Astyanax mexicanus: one gene and its partners. The protein of the gene in region 1 purifies or fractionates together with the protein of each later gene. This does not show direct contact. Links are inferred from orthologs where the notes say so. Each region holds a gene or a part of one and is shown on either strand. Other genes may lie near its edges.

Evidence for each region. Proteins that work in one complex are often made in the same cells at the same time.
Region 2: the proteins of sav1 (region 1) and lats1 purify together in Homo sapiens (affinity purification with western blotting; 3 studies listed by BioGRID). This does not show direct contact. The link is inferred for Astyanax mexicanus from reciprocal best matches to the Homo sapiens genes SAV1 and LATS1.
Region 3: the proteins of sav1 (region 1) and ras association domain-containing protein 1 purify together in Homo sapiens (affinity purification with western blotting; 3 studies listed by BioGRID, with this or other methods). This does not show direct contact. The link is inferred for Astyanax mexicanus from reciprocal best matches to the Homo sapiens genes SAV1 and RASSF1.

What each region holds. Positions count from the first base shown.
Region 1 is NC_064414.1:39,086,178-39,093,788, forward strand, and holds the start of sav1 (protein salvador homolog 1), read left to right. Parts: upstream 1-4,542; 5' UTR 4,543-5,134; coding exon 5,135-5,228; intron 5,229-7,152; coding exon 7,153-7,611. Other genes in the region: nin (ninein), read left to right, coding at 960-1,073, 1,183-1,398. UniProt on the Homo sapiens protein: Regulator of STK3/MST2 and STK4/MST1 in the Hippo signaling pathway which plays a pivotal role in organ size control and tumor suppression by restricting proliferation and promoting apoptosis.
Region 2 is NC_064408.1:49,370,469-49,378,073, reverse strand, and holds the start of lats1 (serine/threonine-protein kinase LATS1), read right to left. Parts: upstream 3,052-7,605; 5' UTR 2,833-3,051; intron 1,010-2,832; 5' UTR 886-1,009; coding exon 532-885; intron 19-531; coding exon 1-18. Other genes in the region: nucleoporin Nup43, read right to left, coding at 7,297-7,523. UniProt on the Homo sapiens protein: Negative regulator of YAP1 in the Hippo signaling pathway that plays a pivotal role in organ size control and tumor suppression by restricting proliferation and promoting apoptosis.
Region 3 is NC_064412.1:14,811,489-14,819,425, reverse strand, and holds the start of ras association domain-containing protein 1, read left to right. Parts: upstream 1-4,886; 5' UTR 4,887-6,326; coding exon 6,327-6,645; intron 6,646-7,937. Other genes in the region: zmynd10 (zinc finger MYND domain-containing protein 10), read left to right, coding at 698-823, 1,506-1,627, 1,705-1,830, 3,168-3,267. UniProt on the Homo sapiens protein: Potential tumor suppressor. Required for death receptor-dependent apoptosis. Mediates activation of STK3/MST2 and STK4/MST1 during Fas-induced apoptosis by preventing their dephosphorylation.

The DNA of each region.
Region 1 (7,611 bases):
CAAACAGGGTAGGCTGAAAAGTCCAGCAGAGTATTTGCATGTTAAATCATGTAAAGTAAAAGCATGAAACTTTCATACTGTGATCACGTTGTGTATAATACACACAGTTTACGCTGAGGCACCATGCTGTAGATCAACCAACATGATAAAATAAGGTTACATTTCAGTGGTTATGTTCAGGGTATTTGTGTGTTGAAATGTGTTACACTACACCACAAGTTTAAATCCTGAGAACTTGAAGACTTGTATTGTTGCCCCTGTTTAATGATCTGTATTTTTTTTTGTTTGTTTGTTTCTAAAACCGTATTTTCTTTGTTCCAGGGGTTGGTTTGTTTAAAGTCTTTGTGATTTTCCGTAGCTCAGTTTATTGCACTATTTTCTCTTTGTGTATGTGTTTGTGAAATAGTATAGCTCAAGTATTTTTTGAGTGAATGTTGAAGCTTAAATCGTGTCCAACAGATAATGGTTTACAGGGATTTTGGTGTCGTCAACTTTCCAGTGTAGAAGTTCAGTGTAGAAGTTTATCTGCGTTCGTAGTACTTTTAAGTAGAAGCTATTAAAAGTTATTAATTAATTTATTTATTTGTGTTATTTGAGTTAATTTTGGAGTTTATTTTTTATATTTTATTTATTTATTTGTTGTTAGTGTTTTATGTTTTATTTATTTAAGTTGTGTTCTGTTTCTTCTTTCTGACCTTAAAGTATTAATAAATCTGTGAAACTGAGACCAAATAAAGAATCAGGGTAAATTTTAAAATTGTTTGTTGCTGTGTTTTTTTTATGTGTACATTATTTTACAGTAGTTCTTACAAATGTATACTGCATACTGTATTATTTTGTCCCTTAGCGGGTTCTGATAAAAATCTACTCGATTGGATGACCAATTATGATCTGCGGTATTTACGGACTTAGGCTTTGCTGCTCAAGAACTCTGTTTAACAAATCCTGTTCATCTACAGGAGGAGCGGGAGCTGGCACTGCTGAAGATGGAGGAGAGGATGAAGGAGGTGGAGCTTACACTCCGAAATGTCAAGCTGTTGCTGCAGGAGAAGGTTTCTCAACTCAAAGAACAGGTACATGCAAATGCACACCACCTCAAACACTTTGTACATTTTTATTTTTCTGTTCTTTTTGTGCAGTAATGTAAGGGTTACAGTGGTCTTTCTCTTTCTCTCTGTCTAGCTTAATAAGAACAGTAAGGCGGACGTGCTGATTAAGGATCTGTATGTGGAGAACGCTCAGCTGTTGAAGGCTCTGGAAATGAGTGAGCAGAGACACAAAGTGACAGAGAAGAAGAACTACCTCCTGGAAGAAAAAATCTCCAGTCTCAACAAGATTGTGCGTGAGCTCAGTCCCTCACCCCTGACTCCTGTGCCCTACCACTTCACTCGCTCCTGATAATCCAGTCTACACTACGTTTGTTTGTGTTATATTATTTACTTATGTTTATTTTAATTTATTTTATTGAATAGGCCATTAAGACATCATTTTTGGTTCATTATTATTGCAAACCAATAGAAAACACTGATTACAATTGTTAGCTAATAATAAACATTAAAATTTCATTAGACTGCAACAAAATTCAGGGAGTCAAATTCAGGCTAATTTTTTCCCTTGGTGTGATTTGGTTTGAAGTAAGAATATGATCTGACTTCTATTCAACCAAACTATCGGATGTGCTCTGCAAGTCTGGGCTAAACACATTTTTAAAATGGTTTATTGCGCTAGTCCAGATAACAGGGTCCTTTCCCTGTATTGACTTTTTCTTGCTCCCTCCCTACAGATGTGTGACCAATATGCATAGAGAACATTACTGCACTTGGAGTTTCCCTGTGTGAAAACAAACCAAACCAAGGGGAAAACTTACAAACTATTTAACTAATTCAGACCAGAGCAAAGTAACTAGAGGTGTGAAAACACCCTTAGACTACTGTGGTGTTCTTCACACGCACAGTTAAATGTTTGCTGTTTCCTCAAGTTCAGTATGACTCTTGATGGACCTTAGGCATTGTTTGAGCTCTGGGCATTCAGCCAAAATACCATCAGTATGTGAAGAAATGAAACTGTTAAACAATTATGAATGACTACATCTTTCCCAACACCTGTGTATTTGCACTGTGACTCAGCCTTTCTCAGTATTTCTTAGAGATTACAACCATCTCATGTCCAGCTATATTTCCCAGTTTTGTGTTTAATATGTTCAGTACTGAATTAGCTTGAATTCATTTATTTAATTATGACCTTTATTTTGATAGAATATGAAGGGACACATGGCTCAGGCTGACTTTGGGTTGCAGTCTGAAACATCCTGATGTTAAAGTGCACTTTATTCTGTACAGAATCAGTGTTCATTTTGATTGTCTCAAACCAACAGACTTCTGTGTTTGAAGCCTGTCTGTCTGCTTGGGCTTAAACTGAAGGCACTAAGTGAAGCACAACTTGTATTAAAATGAGATTGTCTTTTAAATGTTCTGTTTTTAGCACTGTATAGATCACTGTGAATGTGTTTTAAAGAAGCATTACTTTAGGGGCCAGTGTACACAGCCTTGAATAAATAAGCCTGCAGTGCCAGTGGTGAGTCACCATTGGGAATTTTTGTTGGTCTTTGATGAGGCCTAATGTAGGTCTGAGGAAACTGACCTGAAGACATTTTGTTATGTTAATAACTTGTATTATTCTTTTTCTTCAAATGGCCATGTATCTTAAGAAACAGGAGCATGTTTAAAACGTACATCACCAGCATGTAAAGGGAAGCCAGTTCGGCTAAAGGAAACTACCTAGTAATGTAATGAATGGAAGGCATCCAGTAATGGTGCTTGATGCAGGAAGTGTAACTGTTCTACAGTGTTTAATGTTTTCTGAACAGAGCCAAAGAGACTTTTCCCTGTTGCCACTGGCCATCAAAAGCTGCTTTTGTCTATCAAGTGAACTGACATTGTATTGGCCAATCAGTGTTTGTGTGAAACGGTGAGATGCAGTAAACAGTTTTAGAGAATGGGGTGTTTGAGTGGTCATTTTCTGGGTTTGAATGTGGAAGCTTCCGGATGCTCACCCACCCACCTGGCCCACTGTGTGTGCTGCTGTACAGTATAATAATGAAATCCACTAATCAGGGGTAAACTTTTTTTGCTTTCTTCTTAACTTAGTTTATAATAAGCTTATAACAGTTAAGGGTAACATTTAAAAGAATTACATACATGTTATAAACAATCACATACTTAAAAACAAAACATAGAACAACAAATGGGTACATGAATTATAAAAAAGATATAAACCCCAAACAGCAGTATATGGGTGACTTTAAATTAATCCAAATTAATGTTTTGTGTTCTTAACAGCTTTCAGATTTATGTAATTTCTTATCTTTTCTCGTTGGACCATCTGTTTTCTGCATTTATTTTTTTTAATTTATGATCTAATATTTACTGTAATATGTGATTAACAAAATTATTTGATTTCAATAGGTATTTTTATATATATAAAATAAAATTGTAAAGGTAAAACATATTCCACCCCTTGTATTATAAACAAATGAGGTACATCTATCTGAAACAGTGTCCTCTGAATACAAAGAAAATATATCATTTTGAAAAGTGCAATTTTCATAAATTTTTTTCTATGTGTTTATAATTTCAACAGGAGATGTGAAAGTAATAGTTTTAAGACACTTTGTGAACTGTAATCAAAGGTAAAGTATTCAGAACAGCTAAAAGCAATCCACAGCCAGGGGGCATACTTACACATTAATCACAGTCGGTTTTGTTTTCTTGATTTTAATAATTCATTCATTTTACTCAAACATATACCTATAAATAGCAAAATCAGAGAAACGGATCCAGAAACTGAACTGTTCTTTTATTTTCAAAAGTAGAGTTTGGCTTATATTTAGACCATTTTATCTAGATACTCATTAGATACCTGTTTTTTTTTTATTTTTTTACCTTGATTCAAAACAGTTCAAACTGATAGATACAGTTCCTTTTTCTACCAAGAAGGTATAGGAATGTACATTATAATTTTAAACATACTATAAACACTTTTAACAGGGAACGTGTTTAATGTGTGTATGTGTAAAATCTTAAAAGTAACTTCTTTTATTGTTTTTTTTTTTACAGTATCAAACATTTCCCATGTTTCAATACATATTTACTTATGGCTTTTTTTTACTGCATTGAACATGTATATTTAAGGATATCCGTTTTAAAAACATTCTCTGTCAATAAAATAACTATAATTTCGCTTTTAATAATTTTGTTTAATGAAAGGGTTCAGTTGTATGTAATAAATGACTGAGCTGGGGTCAGGTTTGTGTAAAATCTTAAACGTAACTTCTTTTGTTTTAGTATTTTTACAGCAGCAAACAATTCTCATGTTTCAATCCAAATTCACTAATTATGGATGTTTGACGATATTGAACATGTAAATTAAATTATAACAGTTTACAAAAAACATTCCCTATCAATAAAATAACAATATATTTTTCATCTTAATAATAAAAGGGTTTAGTTGTGTGTAGTAAATGACTGATCTGGGGTCAGGTTGGGGAACAGTCGCTGGGTGCTCCTGTGTGTCTGCGTGCGTCAGTTCTCCCACAAAGCCTTGCGGAGGAGCGGACTGGGACTGGGAGCGCTAGTGTTGCGCTAGCTAATGATAGGGGCTGGGTAATTACGGAGCAACAGGCTAACTACACAACTACTGCGCAGCGTTCACTTCTAAACTTATTCAGCAGCTTAAACTCCCTTACCCTCGGTCGGTAGAGCCCCTACACACTCGGGAAGACCGTGGCGCGGTGTGGAACCGCGTGTGGAGCTCTGTGTTGAGTCTGAAGTCTGCAGTTGGGAAAGTTTGAGCTGCGCTAGAGGTTAGCAGGCTAATGGGCTGCTGCTCTGTTGTTGTCCGGATGCGGAGCTAACTGACTAGCAGGCTAGGTCGCTATGGGCTGCGGGGCGGTGTGAGGAACCAGCCGGAACCGCGGAGGATCAGCTAGGTTATCAACCCGTCAGTGGTGTGAAGATGACCGCTGTAGCGTTAATTCCTCAGGTCCAGGAACGACACGGAGGGACTGGTTCGCAGGATGCCTTCCCCGCGGTTATTTCACTACAGTAAAACCCGCCGCCGCCGCTGCTTCTGAGCGATGCTCTCCAGAAAGAAAAGCAAGAGCGAAGCTTCTAAACCAGCAGAAGTTCAAGGGAAGTACGTGAAGAAGGAGACGTCCCCGCTGCTGAGGAGTGAGTAAAGTTAAACCCGGGTAATTTAGCCTGAGATATAGTTAGTTAGGTTAACTAGCTAGGTTATCACTGTATAGTTTTATACTGGTCCTGTCATTCCCTCTTTAATCCCCCATCATAACATACCTAACTGGTACACTCTCATTCTTATATTGCACTATTGTCTCGTGTCTTATGTCTCACGTATGTCTATATCCGTGACATTGTTGTATTGTAAGTTAGTTACATTTAGTGTCTCTCATTCTTTTATTATTTATATATTTAATTTTGCTGTACTTTTTGTAACTTTGGGAAGGAGAGTAACGTAGTTTCAAACCTGTACATATGCAGTGTTGACAGTAAAACTACTTGACTCGCTCACTAGGTTCCAAAATTACATTTATTTTATTTTAACCTTGAGAAATCACCCAAAAACTAATAATTAGACCTGTTCTTAATGTAGTTAGCTAGTTATCTAACCAGTAATGTATCATATTTAGAGCTAAAGCATTTCACTGAGAGGTTTTGGAGACCCCATTTAACTTTACCCAGCTTTAAAGTGCCAATAAGAGAGTAAACCATTACTGGTTTAAAGCTACCCACGGAATACAATTTATAGAAAATGTATTTATAATTTGTCTACATCTATCTATGAATTTGACAGGAGAGCTCTGTGTTTCTGTCAGTGTTTTTAGTTAAGTTAGGCATGTCCTGATGTTTTTGTGGTTGATGTATAATCCTAGAAATTATTGGAATAAATGATATTAACCTTTGAATGCCACTGAAACAATTATGACAGAATAATAGAGTAATATATAGCATAACAAAGCAATTTCACCCTTTTAAATACAACAATTTTCATTAATCATAAATATAATTTTTTTTTCTTCAACTTCAGTCCACACTGTGTGTATGGAGTCACAGTTATTAAAGCACTGATTGGTCATTGCATGACTGGTTTATACGCTGTTCACTGTTACATATGTGAACAAACATACAAATAATCACAATAGATGATATCACGATTATTAAATAATATTGAGGCCATGTCCATTTATTGAACGATAAGTCAAAAATGTAATTATCATGACAGGACTATTTTTTAGTAATTAACTCAGCTCATGCGGATGATCTCTAAAAATCTGTAATACTTATTAGAAGTGTGCCATATCACATCGTAAGCAATGATTTTGTTAAAATAGGACATTGCGATATTCTTGCAATCAGTCTATTTTTTATTTGTTGTGTTACATACTTTATTTACTTTTAACAGTTTGTTTGCAGATCATATCCATGCACTATTTTATGTAATATTGGAGACTTTGTGATTTACTGTTAAAGTATATATTTCAGTAAAGATATTTTTATTATGTATAATTTTGTTATTTTGTTATAATTTTGAATATTATATATAATATTCTTTGTCATATCGCCAAGAATATTGTTATCTCAGAAATACTATACAGATATTACAGATATTCTTTCGGGCCATATTGCACAGCCCATTTGCTCATATCAGCTTATTGAGTTCAGTGTCAGTGATTCTGTCTCTTTTATACTTTTTTTTACACCAGCACTTAGGGATAGAGCAAATATTGGTGCCAACACTGATTCAAGGACCACTGTTTTATATACAGAGTGCAGTAATTTCTATTCAAACTTTCCTGTCCTTCATCCAGTTAAACTTAACTAATTTCGCTTATGTAAATAAATGGGCAGTTGCCTCAAATTTTTATAAGCACTGATGCTATCCTCAACATGCTTAAAAAAAGTGTATTTTGTCAATATGCAAAGAAAGTTGATCACAGTGCGTTGAAATATAATCCCTTTTCTCATCTCTAGTTTTATGTAAAGTAGAAAACAAGATGTTTATGCAGTTATGTGGACCTTTTTTTATCCATCATCCTACCCATTACCTACTCACCTGCATCCCATTGTTCCACAGATCTTATGCCCCCGTTCATCCGTCATGGCCCAACAATCCCACGGCGAACTGAGGTGCCGTTGCCTGATGCCCCTGCAGTACCTGGTGCAGGGGCAAATGTGTACCCGCTGGGCTCAGCGGCGGAGGCAGGAGCACGAAAGAGTTTTCTCCGTAGTGCAGCCCCACGACCCCCCCACGAGGTCTCCCGCAGAGAGAGCCACCGTCTGTCTGCCCCTCCATATCTCCCTCGCTCTCTCTCTGACCTTCCCCACGACTACTCCTCTTCCTCGCCCTCCTTCGTCAGTGACGGTGGGCAGATAACAGAGAACGGAGATGGAGGTCGGTACTATTATGCCCCTGAGACTTACTATGAGAATCAGCCTCGTCGCACACGTAGGCCTGAGCATTTCCACGATGACTATAGATATTACGATCACAGTGAACTCAACTACAGGGTGCCTCCACAGCCCCAGACACCCC
Region 2 (7,605 bases), on another chromosome or scaffold:
AGCACAGATCACCAGCTCCTAAACACACACACACACACACATTTAACACAATCACACATTTAAAAAGTCAAACTATCATCAAACATGCCTCCACATTTACTTAATCTGTTTTGCAGGTAACGAATGCAAACAAAATAAGTGAATTATATGAAACAGCGCAAAAAGACAAGCTTTCCTTTATTGTTTACATGAATAGAGCTTGCATTTAAACATCTTATGCAGGCTATAAGAAAATGTTATGCCTAAATTATTCCACCAAACAAAACATCAGAGTGTTTTCTCCAACAGAGCTTAAATTTTAACAAAAAGAAAGCATCCAACACATAACTGTGGCTGAAAACAAGTGCGCAAAACATTGCGCCATGCCTTGTACTACTGCTAAAACTTGTCTGTCCACATTCCACTGCTGTCATTCCTAAACTATGTTAAATGATCACCTGACAAGAGAACATTCCTATTTTGACAAACATATTGTAAACCTGTTAACCCATGCTGGGGAATTTATGTGCTGTATTTGGTCGGCTCTCCTACCTCGTCAAAGCCTGCCGCCAACAGCTCCTGTAGCATCTGCATGTTAACCTCATATCCACGACCGGTGCAGGTGGGCTCGTTGGCAAATGGCAATAATGATTCTCGAATCACCTGCAGGGCTTTGTGGTGGGGGTTTTTGGGGTTGGCACTGCGGCCCTGCTGGCGCGGGTCCTCTGGCAGGCTCTTGCCCCCACCTGTCTCCACCTTGCCAGCATCAGAAGACAGGCGGGAGAGGTTCCGTAGGCTCTCCCGTATCTCCTGCAACATCTGCTGACTGTTGCCACTGTAGTTGCTTGCCGGAAACGTCTTCGGCCGCATCTGCCTGTATCCTTCGAGTTTCTCGCTTCTCTTCATGAAAAACCATGTATCTCACCAATCCCCAGTGTGAATGAGATGTTGCACGGTGCACAGTGACACTGTGAAAGTGTTAACAGCAAGCAGTGGATTTTACCTGCATACCAGAGCGATGCCCAAGTGTCTGTATATGCAAGGGTCAGACAAACAAACAACATTCAAAAAGAAGGAGAAAGAACAACAGGGTATTAGAATGGTTTCACTATAAAGGTCTAGATATAAAGTTAGTCTAAATCAACTCAAGAATCAACAACACTAGTTATGTCTAAGCGGACACACACTTATTTTGATAAGACAGCCATACATAAACAAACCTATATGCTATCTATCCTTCTACACAGTTTGCAACGTAAACCTCAGATGAAAGTATTTGTGCAGGTGGATACAATATGTGAGCTCTGCCCTGCTGTCAGTACCTGGAAGATTTACTGTGAAACAAGCAAAGCGTCAGTGTGAAGTCATCTTTCCAGAATAACAACAATTTTTTTTAAACACAGACTAGCCACTATTAACAGCTTATAATAATATTAATAACACTAATTGTTTAGCAACTTTTTAACGTTTAAGCCAATGCTAACTTAACTAGCCCAAAGATGCCTAATAAAACTCTAAAGGTAACAAGTACAAAGCAATAAAATTAACTGCTGACTGCTGAACAAAAAACGAATTCAAATCTTTTACGTTTTTTTTCAGCAAGTTTTTTATTTTTTTAAAAAAAGGTCGTCCAACATCTGAATGTATTGTTTCGCTCACCCAGGTCCTAACCTAGTTATTACAACTAATTATATATTATTTAAGTTATATAGCGATAAATAAAGGCTAAATAAAGCTAGTTAACTAACCTAGTTAACTAACTAGGCAACTACCTAACCTGGCCACCCTTGTAAAAAGTGTATTAAAAAGTACTTAAGAGTATTAAAAGTATGTTCAAATTAGGTAAAGAATATTAAAAATGCATTTGCGGTTTAATATACTTTATGAAAAATACAAATTAAACATATTTTCTCTGTATTTCCATAAAATGCATTTTAACCAATATGCTTTAAATGATACGTTGTGTCGATAGAAAATATAAATATTGGCATTAAATACCGCTTAAAGTGCACTTTAGTGTATTTTTCCCCAGTGTCAATAAGGAACAATATGTGCATCAATAGGCAAAGTAGTACATTTACAACATACTTCAAGAGTATTAAAAATGTTTCTAAAAACACATACTTAAATCCACTTAAGTTCGCAGAAGATATACGAAAAAAAGCACTCAAAAGCACAATTTAAAACTTTTATATTGTGTTTAAATAGAGCTTAATTACAACTGAAATATACTTAAGTCGCCATAAATTGTCTCAAAATGGTACATTTACTAACGTTATGCATTTAAGTACATATTTTAATTCCATGTTGAGTATAATTTAAATATATATACTTAATACACTTTGTTATACAAGGGCAACAATTAGTTGCCAGCTGCTATACAAACAAACAAACCAACCAACAGAGGATACATTAACATTACTCCTCCAGCGGCCGTGTTTAAACAGGGTTAGTTCGATGTTATCTAGAGTTATTTAAATGTACGGTGTTATTTTATCTTTCAGTAGCGACTCTTCTAACAGAGCTTCATGTTGAACACAGAAGATCGTTAGCCTGGCTAGTTCAGGTTAGCTAAGCTAAGCTAGCTAAGCTAATGTTGCAGAGTTAGCAGCACAGCTTCACTAGCTACCACTCTAGTTAAAGACTAGTTTTATCCCGCTCATTTCGAAGCCTGCGGTGTTGAATTCTCTGCTCCTGAGAATAAACACTATAAACAGCGGTGTTTCTGCTGGGAGAAGTTCACTCCTGGTGATAGCAGAGCGCCGAGGCCTAAACACTAACGATTCAGAGCGGAGAGCGGAGCCTAGCTTAGCCGTTAGCCCGGACACCCAGCACAGACTTAAAGTTACTCACCGTCGACTAAAGAATATCCATACTGAACCCAGACAACATCTACAGCGCAGTGTCGGTCTGAGGAGCCGAGGAACTCCGCTAAAACTCAGTGAAAGTGTGTGAAAGATCCGCTAGCTCCAGCTAAAGACTCGGCTTTGTATTGACACGGTCGCCTTGGCACTCCGAGTCTGTCAGAGCGGAGATGCCCGGATGTGTGAACGCTTCACTCTGCTCCCGTACAGAGATCACTCAGCTCAGCTCAGCTCTCTCTCTCTCTCTCTCTCTCTCTCTCTCTCTCTCTCTCTCTCTCTCTCTCACACACACACACACACACACACACACACACACGTTTTTACGGAACCCCTGAAGGGACATGGTGTATTTATTACGTAAAAAAGTGGTGAGCATCAGATATTAAGTGGTGAGCACCACATACTAAGTAGTAAACACCAGATAGTAAGTGTGAGCCTCACATACTAGGTAGTGAGCACCAGATAGTACGTGGTGAGCACCAGATAGTAAGTGGTGAGCCTCACATAATAAGTGGTGAGCACCAGATAGTAAGTGGTTAGCCTCACATACTAAGTGGTGAGCACCAGATAGTAAGTGCTGAGCACCAGATACTAAGTGGTGAGCACCAGATACTAAGTGTAAGCCTCACATACTAAGTAGTGAGCACAAGATAGTAGGTGATGAACCTTGCATACTAAGCTGTGAGCACCAGATACTAAGTAGTGAGCACCAGATAGTAAGTGGTAAGCACTCCATACTAAGTGCTGAGCACCAGATACTAAGTGGTGAGCACCACATACTAAGTGGTAAGCACCAGATAGTATGCGTGAGCCTCACATACTAAGTAGTGAGCACCAGATTCTAAGTGGTGAGCACCAGATACTAAGTGGTGAGCACCTCAAATTATGTGGTGAGCACCAGATAATGGTAGCCAGAAAGCTATAGTTTAAACTGACATATTTCACAGTGAAATAAAGTTCTTAGCTAGCTAGCTAGTTTAGCTAACCTTAACTACTTTATTTTAGTGTGGAATGTTTTAGATAGGTAGCGAAAGGTAGCTATAAGCCCAGAGCTAACGATAACCAGCTAACTCTTATGGGACATGTAAACTAAACCAAGCTAAATTTGCTGTCTTTAAGTTAGCTTGCTCGATCTTTGCAAAAGCAGCCTACATTACAAGCTAAATAATCCACACAGTTTTGATAACTGGATAGAGGATTGCAGAGCATGTGCACAGCACAACGTAGCAGTCTGTAAAGTCATGTACAGATCAGTGACTATACAATATGGTGCTCACTGCTTACTATCTTGTGCTCACCACTTTTTTATGTAAAAAAAAAAAATACACCACATTCCTAAACTAAAACTTAACTAAACATAACTAAAAGTGCCCTTTAGAGTGGGAAAACTGGCCCCACATATGTGTGTGAGTAATGGGACCAGGAGGAGTTAAACATGGCCCCCTCTGGGCTGTACACTGAAAATAGGGCTAAATATGAGCCGTAATATTCAGGATACGTTTATATTACCAGGCTAAAAAAATCCGTAAACATGCCAAATCCATTTATTTTTTAAATGTTTTTAATTTAAAATCAGATTTGAGTCACTTCCATATACAGTCCTATATCAGATATGTATCCGATCCATGGACATGCGAAAATATGAACGGTCAAATCAGAGTTCATGCGTCTTTTTGCCTTTACGCATGCGTTATGTGCTTCTCTCACACATCTCTTGGCTATTGTTGAAAAATAGCAAAAACAAGCCGCCTGGCCTTTTTTCTACTCCTTGACCTGGCCATGTTCTTCAGACAAGCTGTTTATTCTCCACTCCAGCAAAAGATGCTCCACATATGAGCTGCTAACTCATCCATTTCCCTTTATAAAGCTACGAGTCGTGTCTCATATGACATTTTTTGTTGTTTGTGAAGAAGGTGACGTTTATACACATAATTACATTAATGTGCGCATGTGATGCGTTTTAGGGACAGATCCATTGACATTACACACAGATACAGGTATTTTACATTTGTGAATGTAAACAGTCAAAATAATAGTCAATAGTCAAATAATGATGCCCTTTAATGATATGGCCTCATGAGTCCATGCTCACCCACAATCCACCTAGCCCATGTTCCACCTATGTGACCACCTTACTCTACACAGGATTGCATTTGGTTTAGGAGCACCACAGAATTTAATAAAATGTAATCACCGTCCAATCAGATCCCACTATTTAATTGGAGAGGGGCTAAAAAAAAAAGTAAAAAGACAACAACAAGAATATGGATGCAGCATCACCCTCCACATCAACAATAATGGATGATATTGTAGTCTATGCTTTTTGGAAAGTTTTAATATATCTGCCATTGTATGTGGAGCACTACTATGTATGATGTATAAAATAGTATGTAATCCATTTTTTGCCTGTCCTAGCAAGCAAAATCACACAATATTGGATCTGCTAGACACCCTTTATGTTTATTTTTGTGCAAATTGATTCAACCATGATTCAAACTATACTTACATTAAATCTGTATATCCTGTTTGTATTACATTATTCAAGTCTTTCTTTGTTCCTTGATATCAAGGCAGTTCTTGTAACTGTTAGCAAACCATGCTAACAGTTACAAGACATGACTTTGCAGCATATGCTAGTCTTGTATCAAAGTAGTTATGTAGCTAGGTTTTAGTACTTCAGATATACTGATTCGATTGTTATATGGTTTTATTTGTGTGCAAGCCTGATAACTGCTTGTGAATCATGTTAACTTGGTATCTTTTGTGTTCCTGTAGGGCAGTGGTTCTCAAACTGTGATGTGAAGCATTCCAAGGTGGTACACTGGATGACCTAAGAAAATAAAAATCTGCTTGCCTTAAAATATTGAAATCAAAGGACTGAAATCAATGTTTCCACCATAAATGTCCTAATATTGCATTTGCTTGTGTGCAGTTAGAACATGTATGTAACCCTAAACCTCAGGCCTTCACTCTCAGATCGACAGTTTTATAATTATTCAGATCAGTTTTATCTTGGCCCTAGTGTAAAACCCTGTAAAACACCACAAGTAAACTATACTAATATGGGCATGTTATATGTTTGTAACCTACACTAATCTAGCACACAATATGGACATTGGGGTACCTGTTCATTGTTTATCCTGCTTGTATTGCAGTAAAACTCTCTCTACTTCTAATTTAGGTGCTTTAATTAATCACTTAGTTCAAACTAAATCAAGCTATTAAAACGTGTCCAAGAATTATTGGAATCTTGGCATAACTGCACTATTAATAAAGTAAAGTTGGAAAGCAGTGACATCACAACCTTTACACTGTTTTAGACACTTGCTACAAGTTCATGCATGCCAGGAAATAAAAAGCGAACATTTTGTTTTTAAATTTGAAGGCAAAACAAACTGTATTCCTAAAATTACCCACCTAACATGGATCACTGCATCCAATTTTCAAATTAGAGGGCACTTAACAACATTTTTTTAGACACATTACCTAATTGACAGGTACATCACCAGATTGTTTTGCATTAAAAGGAAACCCTAGCTGTCACTCAACATTTTTACACCCATATAAAGGGCAGCCAATAGGGCAATATGCCAATTAGAGTTATTCATATCCAACCCACACACAAATCAAATTTCAGTCTAACTGGAGATGCATCTGACAACCAAGTGTAAATGCAAGTAGTTAAATCTCATCAATCTTACGATCTAGTCACAAAGGGCATGCTATATTTTACCACTCAAAACACATCAACATTGAAGAAAAAAAGAAGAAAATAAATGTTAATGGCAGCATTTGGTTTTGAAAGCAGTCCATTTTTTGTACATTTTCTATTTACTGAAAAGGTTTTTTTTGCATGATTGTGTCTGCATGCCTAAAACATTCTGCGCTTCCGTAGTGTGGTCATTTTTTGTTTCATAAAATAATTATTTATACACAATTAGAGCCTTAGTATGTTATGTTGTTTACAAAATAAACAAAATGTACAGATTTGGTTTGCTACAAAATTTTTGAAACTATTATTTCTACGAAATAAAACTTTAACATTTGTTTTGTTGCAGTGATATATTATTGAAATTAATAAAATATATTTTAACATCACGTGGCCAAGAATATCACTCACCCCTACTAGTCAAATTAATATCAAAAGGTAAATAATAAAAGGTCTACATCATGACAACTATTACAATTACATCAGGAATACAGACAAGTTGAATTGACTGATAAATAATAGTCCAATAAAAGTCTTGTCATTTTTTTACAATGCAATGACCTCTTTGGCGAACATTTGATAAACTTTGTGACGATTCATATGCAGTGCACACTTTCAAACTCAAATAAAAAGATCACTCTTTTATTAAGTGCATTATCCAAGGAAAGCATAACAAAACAAACAAAAACTGTTGGTCAGGTGAACATTTACTGAAAATAAATCACAACTCTTTGGTGCTGCGTATCACACAGGAACCTGTCTGTTTATGTAAACTGCCTCTCCATCAGTGCCACACACTAAGCACTGTCCAAGCACATCCAGACTGTTGACAGACAGAGTCTGGCTGGGAAGCATGTGAGTGGTCTCCAGCCTGCCCTTGCTGGAGTCTCCATTGAGCCAGGCACTGATGAGGGACTGGTTTCCCCCTGCAGGAGCTGCCGCACTGCGGGACATGATGCTGGTGTTGCGGCCTAAGAAACACAGACACAAAATAAAAGAGGAAAGACATTTGAAGTTTGTATAAGACTGAAAGTCAAGGCACTTTTAAAAGGT
Region 3 (7,937 bases), on another chromosome or scaffold:
ATCCATATCTTTATGACACTAATCCACACTTTCTTTGAGCTCACTCTAAAAGAAGGAAAGTAAATGAGCCTCATTCTTTTCCAGCTCAAAGCTGTTTATTCTCCACAGTTAGCTCTTGAAGCATGTAGTGTTGCTTTATCGTTATAATCCTTCAGGAAGTGGTCTCTGCTTCTCATTCTCACTCTCTGCCAAGTCATTGTCTTCTGAAGCCTTATCTGATCTTCCATAATGCTGATGAGAAAAACACTGCGCACCATCCTGCTGTTTCTTATTTTTAGAGGAGTTTCCTCTCTTTATCCTGTTTTAAAATATTTTCCCTATTTTTTCCTTTATCCACACATCTACTATATAGTTACAAAAAAATGGTGATAAGTATCATGGTACAGATATATAGTGATTTTCTAAATCAAATATATATTATAAAGGAACACAATCATATGCACAAAAGCTGAGTTCTCTTTTTATCCAATCTGAACAGTGGGATCTGAAGAAATTTCTACACTACCATCTCGCAGTCTGGGTTTAAACACAAAATGAAATGAACCATTCATAAACAATCTATACTGTATGTCAAAACATTCCTTTTGATACCTCAATATTTCCGTACAACCCAAGTTACATTAATTATATTGTTATTTTTTGCCATAATGGGCATTTGTTGATCTGTGTCTGTTGTCTTTTGTGTTCATGTCTGTAGCTGTGTGGATTTTTGACGGAGGTTGTTATCGATCAGCTGCCCAATCTTTCTGATCTTCAACGTTTCCTCAGTCATCTAGCTGTTACAGACCCGGCACCACCAAAAAAAGAACTCATCCTCGAGCAGGTACACTGCTGCTACACACACACTTTCTTTATCACTGTATTGCTAGAGAGGTTGTGAACCCATTACAGTTTTTTTGTATTTTCTGTATTACACTTAAATTCAAATGTAGATCTTGGATCTTGTCTATAATTAATTGAGCCTTTGGACCCAGGGCAGAAAAGCAGCCTGATAATGCCATCTCCATGCACAACAGTTGGGATATGGTTCGCTTTCCATTTAAACAAAAGTTTTCTGTTTAAGATTTTTCTGTTTTCTAGGATTTTTCTGTTGTCTGTTTTTGTTTTCTGTTGCCATCCATGTAGTATCCAGTTCTTCACTTCAGATGTGCAGCAGTGTTCAGTGTCCTTGCCCTTGGACTATAACCGTTGTGTTAAGTTACCTCCATTTGCACATAATCTTTCTCGTATAAGTGGGTTGCTTGGGCATTCTTAATTCTTAACTTTTTATCCTTTCTTCCTTCCTTTTTCTCCTTTGTTTGAGCCATTCCACAAAGTTCTGTGGTGAAGATTGTAAAGTTTATGTTTTTTTTTGTTATCCAATTACAGGTCAATTATGTAGGCATACAGAAAACTGTAAAGGGTTTACGTTTTTAAATAGATAAATGCAGATCATACGCCATTAGAATCTAAATCAAATATACTGATTTAATTAATAAACCATTTCTGACTAAATACTGTTTTAGCTTCCAGAAATTTGGAATGAAATTGTTGCTGAGAATTCTGGCAAGTGGAAGGCTATAGCAAAGCATCAGGTGCAGAAAGTGTTCAACCCATCCGAGAGTGAGCTGAGACAACAGGCAAACAGGTGAGTTTTAAATTTAGAAATGTGCATGCAATGTGTGATTAGTTCAGTATGATGAGCTGTGTGTGCCTGCTCCCCAGGTTGGCTGAGATGTATAATCTTGATCTGATGGAGAGTCTTATACCGGATAAGCCAAAGTGCGGAACTTGTGGTGCGGAGGGGATCAAACGCTGCTCCCGCTGCCAGGGGGAGTGGTACTGTAACAGGTATCCTACATTTACCTAACAGCAAATATATCTCAACCCTGAAACTAAGGAATCTGTATTAAATTGGATGTTTTGGATGTAAAATTCAGACCATGGCTACCTTTCAGAATGGTAGGACTAGCCATGCTACAGTGCCCCCAGAAACGGAGAGGGTTAATGGCCTTGTACAAGGACTCAAAAATGGCATTTTTTGAGCCTTGTGATCAGTAAGTCAGTGCTTATATTTGTATTATATACCTCATGGCTACTGATAACACTGGCATTATTGGAACAGCTGTGAGGTTGCTGACAGTGTGCATGCAGTGGTGTTTCATGCTATCTTATGAACACTAATACTTTTGGTTGTAAATTTGCATTTAATTTGGGCATTTTTCATTATACGACTACAAAAACAAAAAATAGTGGATTATGGATTATGGATCTAGTTTGACGTTCTAATGTACATGCAGCTCTACACACTAGGGGTGAGTGATATGGCCCTAAAATAATATCACGATATTTCACGGTATTTTCGCCATATCGATACTCTTGGTGATTTGACAAAACACTAAATTACAAAAATTATTTAAAGAATACACTACTGCAACAAAAGGAAATTTGTATTTTATTATTTCATACAATACGATATGACACACCCCTAACTGAGGTATTAAAAATACAACAATTGTATCAGATTTGTAACAGAAGTCAATGATCCAGAATGTCATGATACTAATAATGAACTCCAAATATCTCCATATATCCAGGATTAACGTAAAATAAATGATATTGGAGAGATATGATATGTCTCTAGTAGATATATAATGGGAAACGAGAAGAGTGTAAATTATTTTTTTGCTAAAAACAGCAAAAAAGTAGTACCCTGGTGTGATAATTAGGGGTGGGTGATATGGCACGATATTTCAGGGTATAATATTGTTAACGATATTCAAAAATGTTGGCGATATTGTTGCGTCTGATACGATATAGCACACCCCTACTACACACACATAGTTCTTTCTTCCTGAAAACTTGTTCTATATTTGAAACCAAAAAATTCGCATTATGCACTATTTACAGCTTTAATTCAGTTTTGAGTTCTACAAAAGTATGTGTCTTTCAGAAACATTCACTAATGAAATTCAGCAACTCCCCACAGGTTTCTGTTGTGAGTCAGTGTGTTTTCTGGCTTTTTATAGTTCTGGGGAAATGATTCTTACTGACCGTATGCCACAGAAGCTGAGGATAGAGATAAGATCACCAGACAACTAAAGTGCACTAGACACAGCCACAACTCTTTCAGACTTTGATTAGATACCAGCTACATTGTTCTAAATAATACATATGTTTCCTTGTAGAGAGTGTCAGGTGAAGCACTGGCCCAAGCACAAACTTGCCTGCCAGCTGATGGCAGAGGCCACAGAGAAACTACAGAAGGAGCTGAACATCAAGACCTGAGCAGACCGAAAATGGAAAGAGGCAGAGACTTCAGATGCAGAATCACAGAGAAGAGCAGACAGACAAATGACTAAACTCCATTATCACACTGACCTTTGTAGAATGTGTTGCTATGGTTATGGTGGTCATAATGGGAACTGAGGAAGAGAAGGAGTTTTCCTCTGCTCAAGTGAGCAGAGCATGTGCATGTTTTTCCCTGAAAATGTAAAAAAAAAAAACTTTTATAGTTCTCATAAGTGTTAGAACATTCTGCACACTGCTTCCCCATGACCAAAGGTATATGTATGAACAATGCAGATGCTTTATCCTTCACTCTCATTTCCCTGTACTTCCCTTTTGTTTGTTGGGTGGTACAACTTCTGGTACACAATATAGGCTACTGTTTGTTTCTCAACATTGAAACCCTGACTTTTGGCTAATACATGCATAAGATATATGATAGCTATATGTTGGTGCCATATGTTAATAAACACTTTAATAAATCTCCAGTGAATTGAACAACCTTGAATGTTTTTGTACAGTTTCTGTGTGTGTGTTTTGATGGCTTGTTTGATCCATATAATTACACAGTGACAAATTAGTTTAAAGTAAATTGAAGTCCATTCCTAGCACTCTAAAATATATGATGTTTTTAATCCTGTACACATTTTCCCATTAATGGGAGAATTGCTGTCGCATTCTTTTAAAGTGCCACATCATTTTTGGAATACTGTCTCATTATTTCGACTATTTCACAGTAATGGTTTATCACAAAACTATGAAAAAGTGTTTCGAAACAATGACTTAGTTTCTCAGAACAATGAAATGGTATCTCCAAACAATAAGATAATATCTCATAATAACTTAGTATATCAAAACAATTTGAGGGTATCTCATGACTTCGTGTCTTAAGACCATGTGAGGGTGTTTCAAAACAATGAGATATATATCTGATAATATTGACTTAGCATCTTAAAACAATAATAAAAATGACTCTCAAAACAATGTGATGGCATCTCAAAATAACTAATTAGTATATTAGAACAATGAGACATTATCCCAAAATAATGACTTGGTGTCTCAAAACAATGTGAGGATATCTCAAAAAATGTGATGGTATCTCTAAATTATGGCTTAGCCAACATTATCTTAAAATAATGACTTTTCTCAAAACAATATGATGGCATCTCAAAACAATGAATTAGTATCTTAGAACAATGAGATATTATCTCAAAATGACTTTGTGTCTTAAAACAATGTGATGGCATCTCAAAATAATGAATCTTAAAACAAGGTGAGGGTATCTCAAAAAATATGATGTAATCTTAAAACAATAGTAGTAGTAGACAGTATCTCTGAATCTCAGATAGTATCCCAGAATAATGACGTAGTACCTCAGAACAATAAGATATGAGTATCTCAAAATAATGACTTGGCATCTCAAACTAATGAGACAGCTATTTCCAAAACAATGGAAAAAATATATTTGGGGATTTTGTAAGTGTTTATAAAAAGACCAAATCATGGAAAATTTACTTTCCTTTTAAATTTAAAGAAAGTTTGATTTTTTTATTCAAACATGCTAATCCCACACGCGCACACACACAGGCACAGCATACACACACTCACACCCACAGAGGGCATGGCTGGAGAGCAGGCTGTGGGCTGGAGTGATACAGTGTGATTCTGCAGATGTAGTTACAGAGTCTTTAGCTCGCTGGCTGGATCCACTCAAAACCCAAAATAAGAGAGAAGAAGAAACTTACCACTCTTCTCTTTTACCAGCAGGAAGGAAAGGGGTTATTTCGTCGCTGCTTTGAGACATATCCGAAGAAATGACGCCAACATTTCGTGAGCCGTGGACGTTATCTTTCTCTGCGTTTCGCTATAAGCAGAAAAATGGAGACGAAGCGCTGGATTTGAAGCTGCTCAAACCCTCGTTCATGTGAAGGCGATTCCTGGAGCTTACCGTGGTGCTGTCTGCTCTTCATACCCGCGGGTGAGCTCTCAGCTCGGTGTCTGAGCTGAAGACAAGCAGCAGCCTTTTCTCTCAGCGGAATTGTCTTTTTAAAACTTCACCAGTCCTCTCAGCCATGCGGTAGGAGACCACCAAAGTTTTGCTTTAAAAGTGCTAGGTTAACATTTTATCTCAGACATAGTTTTAAACCTAACGTTTTTTAAAAGTAGAAGTACAAAATGTACTATACTGTATTTTTATAACTAGGGTGTCAACCAAAGTCTGTTTAGAAATCTACCTTTATTTAGGAGATATATGTGATACATTCTATATATTCTTTTAAAACTAGTTTTTAAACTATAGTTAACTAGGTAGGTTATGTAGGATAACTTATCTTTCCAGTGGGAAAGTGAATGTATTGTAGCTTACCTTTAAATCTCTTTTCAACCACTCAACTGGTCCTCAAAGACCCTTGTTGGAAAGTTTATTTGACATTTTTTCATTGTATGTGTTCTTTGAAAGACAGCATATTTAGCCGTTACCTGTACAATACCCTTAATTCTGACACTTGTATTGTATTTGTACTTCATCCTTCTTCTTCTTAATCTAAAATTTGCCAAACAATCTTTAGCCTGTCTCTTAATCGTATGGCTCTTAAGTATTATTATTATTTGACCTAAACCACAGGCCTTTCCTGAAACATCAGCAGATCTCATTTGCTCATGTTTTTCACCACAGAAATGATTCAAAGAGCTACCTAACCCTAAAACCACTTGTCAGGCTGGTGTTGATTCTACATTTCAAAGCCTTAACAAACTATATACTGTGATGATTTCTTAAAGTTAAAAAGACCTTTAATCTAAATGTCAGACATCATTCAAGGTCATCATACATAACCTGACAGACTAAGTTTAAACTGCACTGACTGCAGTGGAAAAGAACAATGAAAGCCAATAAAACCCCGCATTTTTTGAAGTCATCAAACCAAAAGTCATTACCTCTTAACTACACATCATGATGCCCAATGTCTGAAAAAAATGGCTTATTTCAAATGAGTCAAGGCAAGAGTCAGCTACAGTTGAGTGGACATACTGGACAAGACAGCCGTTGATCACTGGAAAGCATGTCTTTTGGTGAGATGATTGAGCTTAAAGAGCTCACCATGCTGGAGGGCCGCATTGAACTTACTGCTTCTGCACCATCTCGGACTACTCGTTTGGAGAGGGTCAATGCATTGAGGATAAGCCCAGGGAAAGTTCCTGAGCTGATAAACCGGGTCAGGATCATCAGACTACTGGGGGACTCTATGGATGACCCAAGACTTGTGGATGATACAGGAGAAGGCCATAACTTTCAGCCCTGCAGCCATACTCAACCCACGTGGTGTGACCTGTGTGGAGACTTCATCTGGGGGTTGTACAGACAAAGCCTTCGCTGTACAAGTGAGTATCACCTTCATTGTGCTTCCTGTGAATTGAATGAAATAGTTTATTCTTTAACCCCTCAGTCTGAAGCCCTCAAACATAATATTGTAGTTACCAAATCTATCAAGTAGTTACATAGTTAATACATGAACACAGTTTAGGATTAACAACTTAATAACAAGCTAAATGTTTAAGGAAGTTTTGTATAGTGCAGTCTGTGATGTAGATTTACATCCATGCATCGACAAGCTTAAAAGTAATGAAAAGTAAGGTATATGATCCACATAATCCATGAATGTTCTCGGTATATAGTCGCTATCCAGCAGTCTCTAAAACAGCAACTTTTACAGAAGAGAGAAAAAACTTGTATAAATATATTTTTCAAGATAGGATTGTCTCTCAGTTTCTCTTCTTTTCTTTTCTCTTACAAAATGAATGGCTTGTCACACACCCCTGTTAGTGGTTGGGTTTTTCTTCTCTACACATTTCCCAACACATTCCCACAACCTCTCAGTAAGATTTATATCTGATGAGTGATTGTATTGTAGTAGTATTATCTGAACTTCCTTATTTGTTAACCAAATTCATCACTGGATGAAAAGCGTGGCATCTTTCTTTGTTGTATTATTTTATTGAGTATAAGTTGTAGTTATTCAACAAAAAAGAAATGATCAGTAAAAGGAGTCTGTAAGAAACACGCAGAACAGTTAATGAGTTGTTACAACTACAACTAGTTAATCCTCTCACTCTACCATACATAACATAATCTTCTGGAGTTTGCTCTAAACTATTTTTTGGCACCAAACACAAAACATTAGAACATGCTGATAACAGTAGGATAGTTATTTGACACATAAATAGGTTGGCACAAAAATGTGAATGTCATTTTACAACCCTGTTATTTTGATAATAGATCTGTATATTTCATTTATTTTATAAAAAATAAACTTGTGCTTTCCCTTCTGATGAGTCTGTAGGTCCAGGTTGATTGGTCATTTGAGGGAGTTTGGATAAAAGACAGCTAAAAATAAATGCTGGCATCTGCCTGTGTTAACGCCCTTTTAAGTCCGATTTGTTTTATGGACAGGAACAAATACCTATTTATGGCGCCCTAAAATGAAAGACTTCAACACTGTTTGATACTCTGCTTTGTTGGATGTGTTAAAATCAGACTGACCTATCAGAGGTTTATTTTCCTGGTCGCAGACCATAAAAATAAGTCTCACATTAGCAGATTAGAACACAAAAGCTTAGCTATATGAAGAGCAACTCACTGACTATAAAATTACAGATGTTAAGGAAAATAAATG